Linked DNA regions of Ovis aries. The protein of the gene in region 2 purifies or fractionates together with the protein of the main gene of each other region. This does not show direct contact. Links are inferred from orthologs where the notes say so. Each region holds a gene or a part of one and is shown on either strand. Other genes may lie near its edges.

Region 1 (7,007 bases), on a different chromosome or scaffold from region 2:
AGCGCCCAGAGAAGAGCGGCCCCCGGAAAGCCGGCCCCCCACCCGGGCCAGCGCCCACGACCCCGGACGTTCCACCCACAGCAGACGAAAGCCCACGTCCTCGCAGAAGCCCACACACAGGGGCTTACTGCAGCTCTAGCCACAGCTGCCGAAAACTGGACCCATCAGGAAGTCCTCTAGCTGGCGAATGGAGACGCACACTGTGGTCCACCCAGAGAGTGGAATATTATTCAGGGCCGAAGCCACAGAAGGACACTGGGGAACCTTAAAAGCGCATGACCAAGTGAGAGAAGCCAATGTGAACAGGTTACGTACTGTCTACTTCCAACTCCACGGTGTCCAGAAAAGACAAGACCATGGAGACAGCAGAGCTTACTGTCTCTACATTAGAGACAGCCTGGAAAATCCCAGGGATGGGGGAGCCTGGTGGGCTGCCGTCCGTGGGGTCGCTAAGAGTCGGACAGGACTGACCGACGTCACTTTCACGTATTGGAGGAGGAAATGGCACCCCACTCCAGTGTTCTTGCCTGGAGGATCCCAGGGACGGGGGAGCCTGGTGGGCTGCCGTCCGTGGGGTCGCACAGGGTCGGACACGACTGGAGCGACTCAGCGGCGGCGGCGTCCGCTGTTAACTGGCCACTCTGGGTGGGGTGCTGATGGGGGGGCGGGGGAGGCTGTGCACGCGCAGGGCGAGAGCACACGGGAAGCCTCTGCACCTTCCTCGCAACTGTGCTGGGGACGTAAAACTGCCCTAAAAGACAACGAAAACAAAATCGCGTCTTTAAAAGAAACATGGCTGGAGTCAGAATCAAACCGCACCTGAAGCTGGGCCCGCTCCGGACTTTCCGTCTATCTGGGCCAGCCCAACGTCTTCACTGTGGAAGCCGGGCGGGCTGGGTTTTCTGTGACTTTCAACCGCATGGACCCTAACCGCAAGCCCTGCAAAGCGAGTGGACTGTGCTGGACTCCACAGCCTGTCAGTGCTGACGGACACTGGCGCTGACACGGGAGGGCGCCCATCCACACACCCACACAGGCAGCCCTGGGAGGGGCACGTCCCAGTGCAGGCAGGACTCGGGGGCGCAGGCAGGACTCGGGGGCGCCAGGTCCCTGTGGCGCCAGCACCTCCACGTGCCGGAGTCCTCACAGCTGAACATGTTCCCGCAATTGGACAGTAAAGGGTACATACTATGAACAGAGCAAACCGAAGAGAGAAAAAGCAAGGCTGCTGCTACAACGGGCCCCCGACTGAGAACTGGGAAGTGTGAGGGTAGCACGTGGAAGTTCCAAAATCAGAAATCAGAACTGAGCTCAATGTGTTTTCCTCTGCAGCCCAGGCCTCAAATATAATCCCATTTTAAAACTGTTCTAATCAAATATGAAAACTTCCGTGTTAGGTTTTAAAAGCTATTGTCACTTACTAGCCGTCCTCACCAGGATAATTCTATAGTATATTCTGTCCTGAAAAGATTACTCAATCGATAAGGACAGTGAGCAAAAGGTGCACAGAGATCACCTGAAACAGAGTGTCTTTTTTCATCACACCACTTAAAGAGTATTTAAACCCTGAGAAAGTTGAACCCTGTTTCTGTCAGAAGTAGCCAATCTGCCACAGAAACCCTGGAGACGCGATCTGGCCTTTGGCCAGCTCCACGGGAGAGCCCGGCGCCCAGGGGTGCCTCTGCAGATCCGCGACTGAGTCGGCAGGGCCACAGGGTCCCCAGCTGTCAGTTCTGCAGGCAAGCGTGTCTGGGACCACCTACCGACAGGGAAATGACCGAGAACGCGAGTGCCCACCGACATCGGCTGTAGGCCCCACCTCCCCACCAAACACACTTCCAGCAAACTGGCACACTTCCAAACTGGCAACGACTTCTGGAGAGCGCCACTCACGCCTCCAAGGCTGCACCGTGCCCCATGCAAGGACTGACGGCAACTGGAGAGAGCTGGGAACCGAACACACAGCAGCACAACCCTTTCCTTGGCGGGGGCCAGGAGGTGCAGATCCAATCCTGGAGCCCCACTGCAGCCACAGGGAGTTCCCAAAGCGCTCGGACAGCCTGCGGCACAGCAGCCTCCTCGCCACCACCTCCCAAGCGGCCTGGAATTCTCTCCGCAATGACCACTCAAATGTCCTATCAAGCCAAGAGGATCAAGTCTGCCACACAAACCCACCTTCTGTGCAAGAGAACACAAATTTTACTACTAAAAGGTAAGCTTTAAATATCATGACTCCTAAGAATTCCAACATGCCTAATGACTTACAAAGCCATATATTCTAGGCTGTTCTTGATAGGTGAGTCAGTCAGCTCAGTCGCTCAGTCGTGTCCGACTCTTTGTGACCCCATGGACTGCAGCACGCCAGGCCTCCCTGTTCATCACCAACTCCCGGACTTTCCTCAAACTCATGTCCATAGAGTCGGTGATGCCATCCCAACCATCTCATCCTCTGTCGTCCCCTTCTCCTCCAGCCTTCAATCTTTCTTGATAAAGGGGCCCTCAAAATATTAAATACATCTAGGGGAAACTTCCCTAGTGGTCCAGTGGTTAAGAATCCCCCTTTCAATGCAGGGGACTCCAGTTCAATACCTGGTTGGGGAATGAAGATCCCACATGCCTGGGGCAACTAAGCCCCCAGGCCATAACTACTGAGCCCATGGGCCCAAACAAAGATCCCAGCAACTAAGACCTGATGAAGGCAAACAAACAAACATCTGGGACTTTCCTGGTGGTCCAGTGGTTAAGAATCCGCCTACCAATGCAGGGGATTTGATCCCTGGTCCCTGAAGATTCCACGTGCTGCGGGGCAACCAAGCCCGTGCGCCACAACTATGAAGCCCATGAGCCGCAACAAGAGACGCCAACACGGGAGAAGCCCGGGCTCCACAGCTGGAGGGCAGCCCCGCTCGCCACAGCCGGGGGAAGCCTGAGCACGGGAACAAAACACACACACACACACACACACACACACACACACACACAATTTAAAAAGAAACGTAAAGACACCTAATACACAAGAAGGTATCGTGAGCAAACACCAGCCCCACAACTCACCCCGGCTCCGGGAGTCCACCCACTCGGGCTGAAGGACAAGGCCTGTCCCTGGCTGCGTCTCCAGTCGTGGAGGTGGGCACGGGACTGCAGGCCGCGGGTCGACTCACCTGAACTCTCTTCCTTCGCTGTACCGTCTACTCGAGGAGGCCCTCGGGGCGGCCGTCTCCAGGAGCAGCTTCTGCGTGAGCCTGCCAGGCGGAGCAGGGCCCCGGCCACTGTCTTCGTCCGCCTCCCGGTCACACTTCCATTCCTCGTCTTCGTTCAGCGTGGGCAGGTACCCGGGGACACCCTTCCCTGTCCCTGACCCAGAGCTCTGGTCGCTGCAGAGCTTCGGGCTCTCCGAGCCTGTCCTCGTGTACTCCAGGTAAATGTCGGACTTGAGGAAGGAGGGGTAGGTGTTCTCCTCCATGGTGGACTGGACCTCCGTCTGCGCCTGGTCGAACATGGCGGGGTCGATCTGCTGCTTCGAGATGCAGTCCTTTATGAAGCTCTTGGTGGCGGGCTTGGTCTGCCGGGACACAATGCCGTTGTTATCAAGGATGTATTTGCGATAGATGGCTCTGGCCAGCTTCAGCCTCTTCTCTTCATTCGAGTCACAGGGCTCCAGTTTTCTGAAGCCGCTGCAGGCAAACCAGAAGTCCAGGAGGTCGGCACAGTCCTCCTGTTTCAGGAAAGTCCTAAACAGGTTTATGCCATCTTGATCGTCCAGCAGGGAGTGCAGCGACTCGGCCCACTTCAAGTACGGAGGGGTGGGCGACGCGCTGCCCTCGGGCTCATACCCCAGGTCCAGGTCCGAGCGCCTCGGAGTGGCTGTGGAAGTCTCCCCTTTAATCCCAGCGCCTTTCCCAGAGCAGAAGCTGTGGCTGACGGGCCTGGGGTCTGTGGACACCAGTTCACCCTCCTCACCAGGCACTGGGGGCCGGGGGGCATCTTCGGTGAAACTTGCTCCGAGGTCCAAGGGGAAACCCTGCTCCTGGATATTCATTTTGGGACTCTGTGCGTCAATGAACAATGAGCGCTGCACCCTAATACATCAGTACTTACGGCTCCAAAGTGAATCAATCTGTCCTGTTGAAACCATTAAGAGGACAAGGATTAGGAAAGGTGGGTCCATGGAAACATGACCACAGAGGTTTTCTCACGACAAGACTCTCAATGATGCCCTCCCGCTCGAACTCAAAGCCAGAAACTCAGTTTAAATGTTCAATCCTTTGTCACAAGGTTTTGTACTATGTTAGAACAATTTCTGTAAACTTTGCCAACTACAGGAATGCCTCTGGCACAAAGAAATCAATGTCCAGAACACAGAGAGCGTCACTACCCTTGAGGGTCCTTCTGTGAGAACAAAGAGAGACTATAAGCCTGGGGACCCTCCATCCTGAGCTGCTACAGGACTGCGTGGCCAGGCCCTCTCAAGCTCGGGAAAGGCAGGAGGGCTGGAGGAGACACAGGAGCTTCTGGTCCTTCCAGCTGTGCAAAGCCAGGTGAGAGCCAGCCCCTCACGAGGAAGGTGAGGGTGTGTATCTCAGCGTCACAGGGCCACTGTGATGCGCAGACATGGCACTCCACACCGAAGGCTGGCGCCCATGTCTGCCCTCCCCGCGCTTCAGGCTCACAGCCGCTCTGCTTCTTGCTTTCCACCGCTTCACACTGAGTGTCCCCACGACCCGGGCAAACACACAGCGACTGGTTCTTCTAAGTCTCCACACGCCCCAAAGAGCACGGAACCTTCCAGTGAGTGAGCACAGGATGCTGCTCCCGTGCACAGCGGCCTTCTCACACCGCCAATGATGTGAAGGCTTTTATTTTTTTTGGCCACACAGGGCAGCTTGTGGGATCTTAGTTCCCCGAGCAGGGAATGAACCCAGGCCCTCAGCAGTAAAAATGTGGAGTCCTACCCACTGGACCACCAGGGAATTCCCATGAACAGTCTTAAAAAATGCTTCCATCAGAGACGTGCTCTAGATTTGAAAACCTTGCTTAAGAGTAAAGAGTCCTTCTGACAGCAAATGGCAACTGAGTACTCTGAGAAGCAGAGAGGGTACAGAGCAGACGAGGCCCAAACCCTACTAGCTAAGGAAGCCCGCAGCTCACAGGATGAAGCTCGGTAAAGTGAAAGCCACATGACTCGCCCTCTCGGAGTGAGGGAGCCATGGATCTGTCTCTGCTGCTAGAAGCCCGTCTTGCACAAGGGAGGGCTGCCCTGCCAGGGCTCTGCCACAGCCTCGCGTCCTGTCCTCCCTGACACTGAGCTTATGGGCTCAGGCCACACCTCCCAACCTGGCCTGCTGGATGTAAGTGGTCTGCCTAGAAAGAGACTGGAGAGAAGCGTGATAGGCCCAATCGCTGAGAGTGCAGAGCAAGTCAGAGGAGCAGAGCAAAATCCAAAAACCTGGCACCAACACAAGGTACAGACCTCCCAGCCACCTCTCCACTCTTGGGCCTTGGCCTACATGCAACCTGCCCCACACCTGGTCTGCACACACTCGCCTGCCAGCAGCTGCCGACGCCTCACGGCACCCAGAGGCGGAGCATGGGTCACAACTATTGTCCTGCAGCTAGTGACTAGCCTACCGGGTCGGCTGCAATCTCGGCCTCGGCAGGAACAGCCTGCTTTCTCAGGTCAAGGCCCATGGGCTGTGACAGCTGCTGCTCACGGACCACTTCAACTGCAAGGTCGCCTCCTCTGAGCCCCGTCGAAGGGGACTGAGCACCTCTGAGGTCTCCACACCAGCTCCCGGATGCTAGCGCCCTCTTGTCGGGGTCACCATCCCAGGAAGGAGGACCCTCACCTGGTCCCCTGAGCCTTACTACTGGAGATGCTCTGTGGTTCACTTGCCTTGAGAAAAAACCAAGTCACTGTGTTCTAAGACGAGGCTGATTACTAGTCACGTCACTTTCTCTTGAAGTGCTGATTTCTTTCAGGTAAAAGACTTGGAGCAGCCTGGTTTAAACGTTCTCTGCAGGGCCTACAGGATCTGACACAAGGTCCCACAACTAAAGGGCACCAACAGACATGTAATTCATCAACATTAAGGAAAACAACACTCGGCACAGATACGGAACATTAGCCCTTCACAGGTGCTGAAACAGCAGCAAATTCAACATCGAGCTATCTTTTCATTTGGGTGAGAGCAAGTCCGCCTAATCATTTGAGCTATCTTCTCACAGCCCGGAAGAAATGTTTCTTAAAATTCACATCTGTTTTGGGCTGTCAACTGACAGGAGACCTTCGGTGTCCCAGAAGCACAAGAACATCTCTCCACACTGCTGTTGTTACGAAACGCGCTCCCATTACTGAGATCTCCGGGTTCCCAAGGAGAAGCACGGCAGGCATTCAGTGTGCCCACGTACACACCACATATGAAGATGCTGCCTTGCTTCAGATTAGAGTCACGGGCCCACAGGCGCTGGATCTGGCCAACAGCCTGTAACCACCTTCAACAAAGGGGACTCCACAAAAGGAATCTACAGCCCTGATGCCTCATTTACAATCTCCTTCAGTCACTGCCAAGGAGCACCCCCTGGGTATCACGGCAGCCAGCTCAAGGCTGTAGGCATGTGTATATTTATCTGTTTTACTCAAATGCAACTTTTGAATTTTTGATTTATGTGAAGTATGGAAACAACAGAGTATGACTCTGACATACTCCCAACTGTCCATTAACTAAGGATTGTTTAAGGATTGGGACTACAGCTTTACATGTAATTTATTCCCCCACCACCTAAATCCTCAATGACCAACGAAACCCAAAAAGTCCACTTAGCTTTCCTGAAACCATAAATCCAAGAAACATCAATACCTGCTAGGAATCAGACAGAAACATACATCCTGTATGAGTTCCCATCCTTGTTCCTGAATAGAAGTTCTTAAAACTGAAACCCAGATAGTGCTATCTCCGGAGGTCAGGTTTAGATTGTGTGTGTTTTCCAAAACAAGGACTGGTCCAAGG
Region 2 (7,642 bases):
AATTGATTGGTTTTACTCTCTCCCTTTTTTTAAATTTTAATTTTATTGGAGTATAGTTGATTTACAATGTGGTAGTTTCAGGTGTACAGCAAAATAATTTCAGTTATATATTTATATTCATTCTTTTTCAGATTCTTTTCTCATATAGGTTATCACAGAATATTAAGTAGAGTTCCCTGTGTTATACAGTAGGTCCTTGTTGGTTATCTTATGTATATTTGTGTGTATATGTCCAAAAGTTTGTTTTCAATATCTGTAAATGTTTCTTTTATTGTAAATAAGTTCATCTATATCATTTAAAAAATTAGATTCTACATATGAGTGACATCATATGATATTTGTCCTTCTCTCTGACTTACTTCACTCTGTATGATAATGTCTAGATCCATCCACATTGCTGCCACTGGCATTATTTCATTCTTTTTATGGCTGAGTAATATTCCATTGTATATATGTGCCACATTTTTATCCATTCTTCTGTTGACGGACATTTAGGTTGATTCAGTGTCTTGACTATTATGAATAGCACTGCAATGAACACTGTGGTGCATGTATTTTTTTCAGTTATGGTTTATCTCCAGATATACACCCATGAGTGGGATTGCTGGATCATACAGTAGTTCTAATCTTTAGTTTTAAAAGGAATCTCCATACTGAACCCCAAGATTTAACACTGTGTATCACTGGACAATATACTTCATTTCCCTGGGCCTCATCCTTTCAGTTCTAAAAGGGCATGGCTGGCCCAGATGATTTCTAGAGCCCCTTCAGCAGTGGTAGTCAAGGATTCTGCAAATCAGAATGACATTAGGCTCAGAGAAGCAGTGCAAAGTGTAGCATTAAATATGGGGACAAGGAAGACAGCAGAGTCAAAGGTCATCAGTGGCAAAGGGGGAATGATGTGCTCCTAACAAAACAAGGTGAGTGTATAAAAGGGCTTGTCTTTGGAGGTTTTTTTCAGACGGGGTTTGTCACAGGGCGTGGAGATGGGGAAGGATAAGTAAGAGGTGGCAGGAAAATAATCATTTGTTCATTATTTTACATCCCCCAAATACAGACTTTAAACTTTTTTTTTTTTGGACCCATGACCCATAGCAGGAAATACAACTTGTATCCTGGTCCAGTGCAGTTGTCTAGTATATATAACTGAAACAAAGGGTTTATGAAACAATTATTCTAAGGGCAGTGGCATCTAATACTTTCTATTCTAGTACATTTCATTATTTTAAAAAGTTGGTTGCCGTCCACTGAATGTCTGTTATGATCAATTACTGCGTCACGACCCACAGTTTTAAAAACCCTGCCTAAGAGTAAGATCAGGTCTTAAGTTGGGGGCGATGGCAGGCATCCCATCAAAGAACCCAAGACTAGCTGCAGGAGGGGACTGGCAAGCCTCGGGGAGTCTGGAGCGCGTCTGAAGCTCTGTGAGGCAGAGCGTTGAGGAAGGCAGAGGCCTGGGAAACAATCGGTGGCAACCACTCGTCTAGGTGATAGGGGTTGGGGATTAACCCTCCAGACCTCGTAGACCTGAGGATGGGGGCGGAAACCAGATTCCCGCAGGAATCCAGCGAACATCCGAAGGCTGCATTTCATAAGCGTGCGCCGAATGGCTCCCGCATCTCTGACCTCATTTGGGCTTCCAAAGCTCCTCCACTCACTCGAGAGTCCGGGGAGGACCGCGTGCGCCCACTCCTCCATTCATTCATTCATTCCAAACCCATCTCGGGGAGCGCCAACCAGGTGCGAGAAAGGGCGAGCCGTCGGCGGCCGAGGCTTCCCTTCCAGTCGGTTCCCCTCCCGCCCAGCTCGCATGCACACAAAGTTCTGGTGCCACCCCCGCGGACCGGCTCCCCCTTGCCAGTCAGAACCAAAGCGCGTGCACCGCCGCCCGGCGGAGCCGCCTAACCTCCCCGGCTTCCCGGGATCCGCCCCCCACCCACCGCCTCCCCGCACCAGCCCGGCCGCTCCTGCCCTGCGCTCGGCCTTCCCCGCCTCGCATCCGTGCCATCGGCGCTCGATTGCGCGCGGACTCCTGGCTCCGGGCTCGCTCGTCGCTCGCGCTCGGCCGCCGCTCCCGCCCCCGGCCCCCGCCCCCCGCCCCTCCCCCGGCTCCTCCCGCCCCTCCCCCGCCTCCCGTGCAACTTTTGCCGGAGCGCCCCCCTCCCCAACACACACAGCCATGCTGAGCTGAGCCCCGGCCGGGGACTGGCCGCGCGCTGCCCGCCCCGGCTCCCGCCCCACCGCGGACCCGCTCGGGGGCCGCGGCCGCTCGGCCCTCGGCCTCGGCCGCTGCGCCCGCCCGGCCGCCCCCCGGAGCCCCCGGGAGCCCCGCGCAGGGCCCGGGCCGCGGCGGCGGCGGCGGCGGCGGCGCCCGGCCCCCTCCCCCGGCGCCGGCCAAGTGAGGCGGTGATGCGGGCGCTGGCGGCCCCGGCTGCGCCGAGAGCGGAGACACAGGCTCAAGATGGCAGATTCCGACTGAGGCTGGGGGGGCCGAGCTCGCGCGCCGCGATCCCTTCTCCGTTGCCATGAATCGCGGACACCCCGGCCCCGATGGCCCCCGTGTACGAAGGTAAGCGGCGCCCGCCCGCCGACTCCGCCGACCCCCGGCCGCCCGGCCGCCCGGCCCCCGGAGCTTTGTTCTGCCCGCGGCCCCGCGCCGGGCAGCACCTCCCCACCCCCGGCCCGCAGCCCCCCGGCGCCGGGTCCCCGCGCCCCACCCCCGGGGCTCGAACCGGTCGCCCGCCCCCCTCCCCGCCACCCCCTCGGTCGCCCGGCGATCGGCCGGGATCCGGAATCAAACAGATCTTATTTCCAGGATGGAGAAAGAGGCGGGGGGTGGGGTGGGGGGTGTGCGAGGGTGGGCTACTGGCCGAAGAAAAGAAATTGGGTGGGAGGGGGCGCCAGGAAAAAAGACAGACCCGTGACGGTGCTTTTTATTTATTTGTAAGAAATAAAGGTGATGCGGTGTAGCTTTCCATCTCCACCCCCCCCACACCCTAAAGAAAATTACCTTTAGGGTGATCTGTTTCCACTCTCCGTCCTCCCAGCTCCCTTCCCGTTTCCCTCCACTCCCCCCCCCCCCCACCCCCCGCAACACACACACACAAACACACACTCCTTTATTCTTCGCGAGCCTCAGATTTTGGGGGGCTGTCGGATCGGAATGTGCGGGGCTAGGTGATGAGAGGGGGGCAGAGAGGAAAAGTCCATTTCAGAGCCAGGCAGAACAATGAAATAGGCGAAAATCTCCCCGCATTAGCGTGTGTAAGGGAAAATGTAGTTTGGGTTTGCCAGTCGGGGAGGCGGCCAAGACGCTGGTCTCCGCCGGTCTGGGTAAACCTGCGCGGTGCACCTTCACCTGGCGTCGGGTCCTTTTTCTCGTCTGTCTTTAGGAAGAAAGACAAGAACGGAAGGCAGAAATACTCCGTTTCCCCTGCAGTCCCTCTTTCGTTTCTCTTCAGTCAGTTCTGTCAGTTTCCAGCCAGAAATCAAACCGGAATCAACTAAGTTTTTACACTTCGATGTGTGTTTTGTGTGTGTGTGTGTGTGCTTGTAGTAGGAGGGATTTTGAACCAAAGGGTGTTTGATTTTTTTTTTCAGTCATTTTCCTCGTGAAAATGTCTTTCTCATGAAATCATTGAAGTAGCAGCCTTTACATACTTTGAGCGTCAGTCCATCTGGCTTTCTTTCGGTTTTGTTCAGATACCCTGTGGATGAAATAGCAAATGAGAGGAGGCAAGGGTTTGTGCGGAATGAAGAGGAGGGGCGAGGTTTTAATCCTCTATAAATCCGGAGAACAGTCGTGGCCAGTGAGACAGGGAACGCATTAATAGTTTTATCTCTGTTATAAAGGCAGATTAGAAAAAAAAAAACAAAACTTATCTGAAAAGAAAATCTGTTATTAGTTCCAGAGCTCCAAATGAATTAGGTTTCTGGATGGAATAAAGTTACCAGTCAGGCTGGGTAACGAGGCTGTAAATAACCTATGGACTGTAAATATTTTTTTTCAGACTCTCTTAGAAACAAAGGGGCCTGTTTAGAAGGCAACAGAGAGATGTTATTCCAGGGGCTTTCCTCTTTGATTCTGAAGAACACAAGGTCCATTTAACCATTCAACAAAACAAAACAAAATTTCTGATCACTCCACCACACAGAATGGAGCCAGCCCGGTGGCTCTGTGAACATACTAGGAGGACCCAGTCGGGCATTCATTGTTCCTCTGAGTCTCTGGGAGGGGGCTACAGTCAATGCTCCCACTGTCTATGGAGTGTTAAAATGAAACAATTTTCTCTTTATTAAGTACCTCTTTGAGACTCCCTCTGCTGGACACTCCGGGTGAGCATTGGAGAAGGAACTTGGCATTGAATTCAGAACTATAGTAAAACAGGCTGCTTTCCCTTTCTCAAGGGGCTGGGTATGTGGGTTGGGAGGTATTTTGTCAACTTTGTAGAAAGCCGTCCTGGGAACCGTGCTGTTCCCCTCCTGTTCTCCTCATCTAAATCCATACGGAATGTAGGCCATCCCCCTGCGGCTAAGCCTTGGCACTAAGGCTCTTCCTACCCTGCTCTTTTAGCGCATGACACCAGATAAAGACCTGTGGGTGTGGAAGACGTTGTGGTTTAAGCATAATCTCAGATCTCAAAGGTTTCGAGCTCACTTTTTTTATTTGCAAGCCTGCCTTCTGTGTCCCAGCTGACCTATGTGGTCGCTTCTGCCACCCCTGGGCCCCTCAGTCTTGTGTGTGTGCTCTCTTGATCATTCCTGTGCATTGTGCCCTTTGATTCTGGGAGAGTTTCTTCGAATCTTTGTAATTCTTCTCTTCCTCCTCACCCCTTTTGAACCAGTCCAGCATCACTGCCCGAGCTCAGGCCTGGGTCTTTTTTGAAAGCAGCTGTTGGTCATGCTCTAAAGCAGACAGGTGACCCCTCTAATCAGGCATTGCGCTGCGGAACCCACATTTACTTCCTGTGATGAGTGCCTCTAAGACTTCAGTGACCTCCTTTTTCCCTCCTTTGGCAACGCCCCCTGCATTTAGGGAACCTGATTTTTACCACATCCCGGTCGGAGCACATGGACTCCTTGTGTGTATCCCAGAGGAGCAGGGCTTTTCCTGTGGAATTCTCCAAGAGCGATTTCTGATAGTTTTCACCCTTCTAAAAGGTTTGAACCCTGGATTCTTCTCAGGAGAAGGATAATGACAGGTGAGGCATTTAAGCCAGAATTCAGGGGTATATTCATTTATTTAAATAGGGTGCAATTGCCCGAGGCTAGGATTTGATGTAAAGGCCTGAGTGCATTAGTGGAGCATCCTAAACTGCCAGGTATTTAGAGAGAAGTGATCTGTTTGAAACAGGGTATGTTTGATAATACAAATCAACGGGTAGGAAAGTGTGATCAGCCTTCCACAGCCTGCTTTTAAGGATAGGTTTCTAAATAGCATAGTAGTTTTCAATGGCTTGGTACTGATGAAGTTAAACTTCTTTAAAAAGGTTTATTTTCTTTAGAAGGTTAACCATTCTCCTTGCAGTTATGTTTACTCCATCAACTTGCTTTGCAAGGCTTTTTCCAACATTTAGTGCAGAGGCCAACCACAAAGGTTTCTAGTGCCACAGGTGCTAAATTAGAGGACCCTAAACTGTATTCTGCTCTCCCTGGGCCGTGCCTTGTCCACTATTGTTGGCTCATACAGTCAGACTTCCCCAAACTGTAGCATCAAAGTCTGTCATCAGATGGGCCTGAAGACACCTACCAAGAAATGGATTCTGAATCATCTTCCATTAAAAGAATTTGATGACACATGTTCAGAAATATCTTTTCCTGTGTTTATGTTTTATATTTTTAAAAATGAGTGAGTATAAATATTGTTTTCCTTCTTACCACATTTGAGAAGTGAATCAAGGCTCATTAATTAATTTTAACCCCTGATCCTGGACAGTGTGGTATAATACTCGAATCAGAGAAACCTGGGCTTTGACCCTAGCTGTATGGCTTTGGGCATGTTACTTAACTTCTCTGAGCTTTTTTTTTTTTTCCCTTCTTTTCAAAGCCTTATTTGATTGTTCCAGGGCTCCATTAGAAATAAGTATATGTAAAGCATCGGGCTGTAGTAGGCATTTTCTCAGTACATGTTAAATCCCTCTATCTTTTGAGCTGCTTACAGGCATGATGACTCCAGGGAAAGAATAAGCCACAAATAGTTTAGAAAACCAATAATAGCAACATTTCAATTATTAATCTCCTGCCATTCCTTTTCCAGTTTGGACACCAGCAACAATAAGCCCCCTATGGCCAGGGAAGAAAGAGCCTCTTTTGACCCTCTCTGTGACCTTTCCAGACTCTTTATTCCCACTGAGCTTCTGCTGGTTTCAGGTAGAGGATTTCTCTTCTCCCATGGCACATTCTCTGCAACTCTAAAAATGAAGCAACAAACCATTCAAACTGAGTTTCAGGGGCTGCAGCTGTGCCTCTGGGGAAATATCCCAAGGTGTGAAAGATAATCTTTGCCCTTTATCAGGATCCATTGGTAAACCAGACTGCCAGCCAGGAAAGGGAGCGCCCTGAGGTGGCTTACTTACCAGTGGCCTCCTCAGAGGGGAGACATCCACCCGATCACAAGCCAGGGACTAGATCCATGCACCTAACGTGATTTTCCTACAAAAAAAAATTTGGTGCTTTTTGCAAGTTGCAGCTGCTTGTATTCTTCATATGTTATTTTTTGTTTCTTTATTTCTTCCTTCCTTGCGTAGAGACCGATCTTGAAGGAACCACCTTTGAGTGGAACAAAGTAGCGACGCTCGAAAGGGTATGATATGTGAACTTTTTTTATTGTTCTCCGAACATGTCATTTGCCAGTGCTTTCTGGTGGTCTCAGGATGGCAGTTCAAGCTCTTCAGGTTGCTGTCAAAGGCGAGTTTTCAGAATAATGCCAGCAGATGTTCTATAACATCCGATGAAGCATGAACTTGAAAGGCCCCAAATCGTAATAGTTCCATTTCGTGTGGCAGTACTGCACTGGGAGGGGTGAGGATTGGAGGCAGAGAAAGAAAATGGAAAACCTGGAATATAGGAAGGTCTTTATTTTTCGTCTAAAAGAAGCCAAGATGCCTGAAGTTCATGGTAATAATTGTAGCTTAGTTTCTGGCACACCCTCTCCCTACACTGACCCACTTGTCCTCCTTACAGACCCACAAAGTAGATACCTTCACCCCCACTTTATAGACAGGGCACTTCTTTAGAACATCCATTCCACAGACGTTTGTGTGGGGTCCCTGTCCTTGAGTTCAGGGGGGATGGGAAGTGAAAATCAAAACTAAACAAGAGATGAACTGTGGTCTGACTCAAGATAGAATGCCTTTATGTTTGTGCCTTTAAGAACTTTAACCAGTTCTTAAGTCTTACATGCTCATGTTTCTTTTTTTTTAATATAAATTTATTTATTTTAATTGGAGGTCATGCTCATGTTTCTTGAGGTATAAAGGGAAGATCTCCATTTCTTTATTTTCTCTAGAAAGATTTTCTTTCTTTGGGATCAAAAAAGTATTTATGAATGCAGAAAATACCTATTACAAATCTCCTTAGAAATTTCCTTGGAAATTAGCATCTCTAATTTGTAGAAGATTCCGTCTCCCTCTTTTATTACTTA

What was found. The genes of interacting proteins can lie anywhere in the genome.
Region 1: the proteins of HIPK2 (region 2) and AXIN1 purify together in Homo sapiens (affinity purification with western blotting; 3 studies listed by BioGRID). This does not show direct contact. The link is inferred for Ovis aries from reciprocal best matches to the Homo sapiens genes HIPK2 and AXIN1.

What each region holds. Positions count from the first base shown.
Region 1 is NC_056077.1:874,633-881,639, forward strand, and holds part of AXIN1 (axin-1), read right to left. Parts: exon of another isoform or gene 6,858-7,007; intron 4,123-6,857; 5' UTR 4,040-4,122; coding exon 3,162-4,039; intron 1-3,161. UniProt on the Homo sapiens protein: Component of the beta-catenin destruction complex required for regulating CTNNB1 levels through phosphorylation and ubiquitination, and modulating Wnt-signaling.
Region 2 is NC_056057.1:104,673,186-104,680,827, reverse strand, and holds the start of HIPK2 (homeodomain-interacting protein kinase 2), read left to right. Parts: upstream 1-2,529; 5' UTR 2,530-2,550; coding exon 2,551-2,569; intron 2,570-7,642. Other genes in the region: putative HTLV-1-related endogenous sequence, read left to right, coding at 1,862-2,059, 2,178-2,529.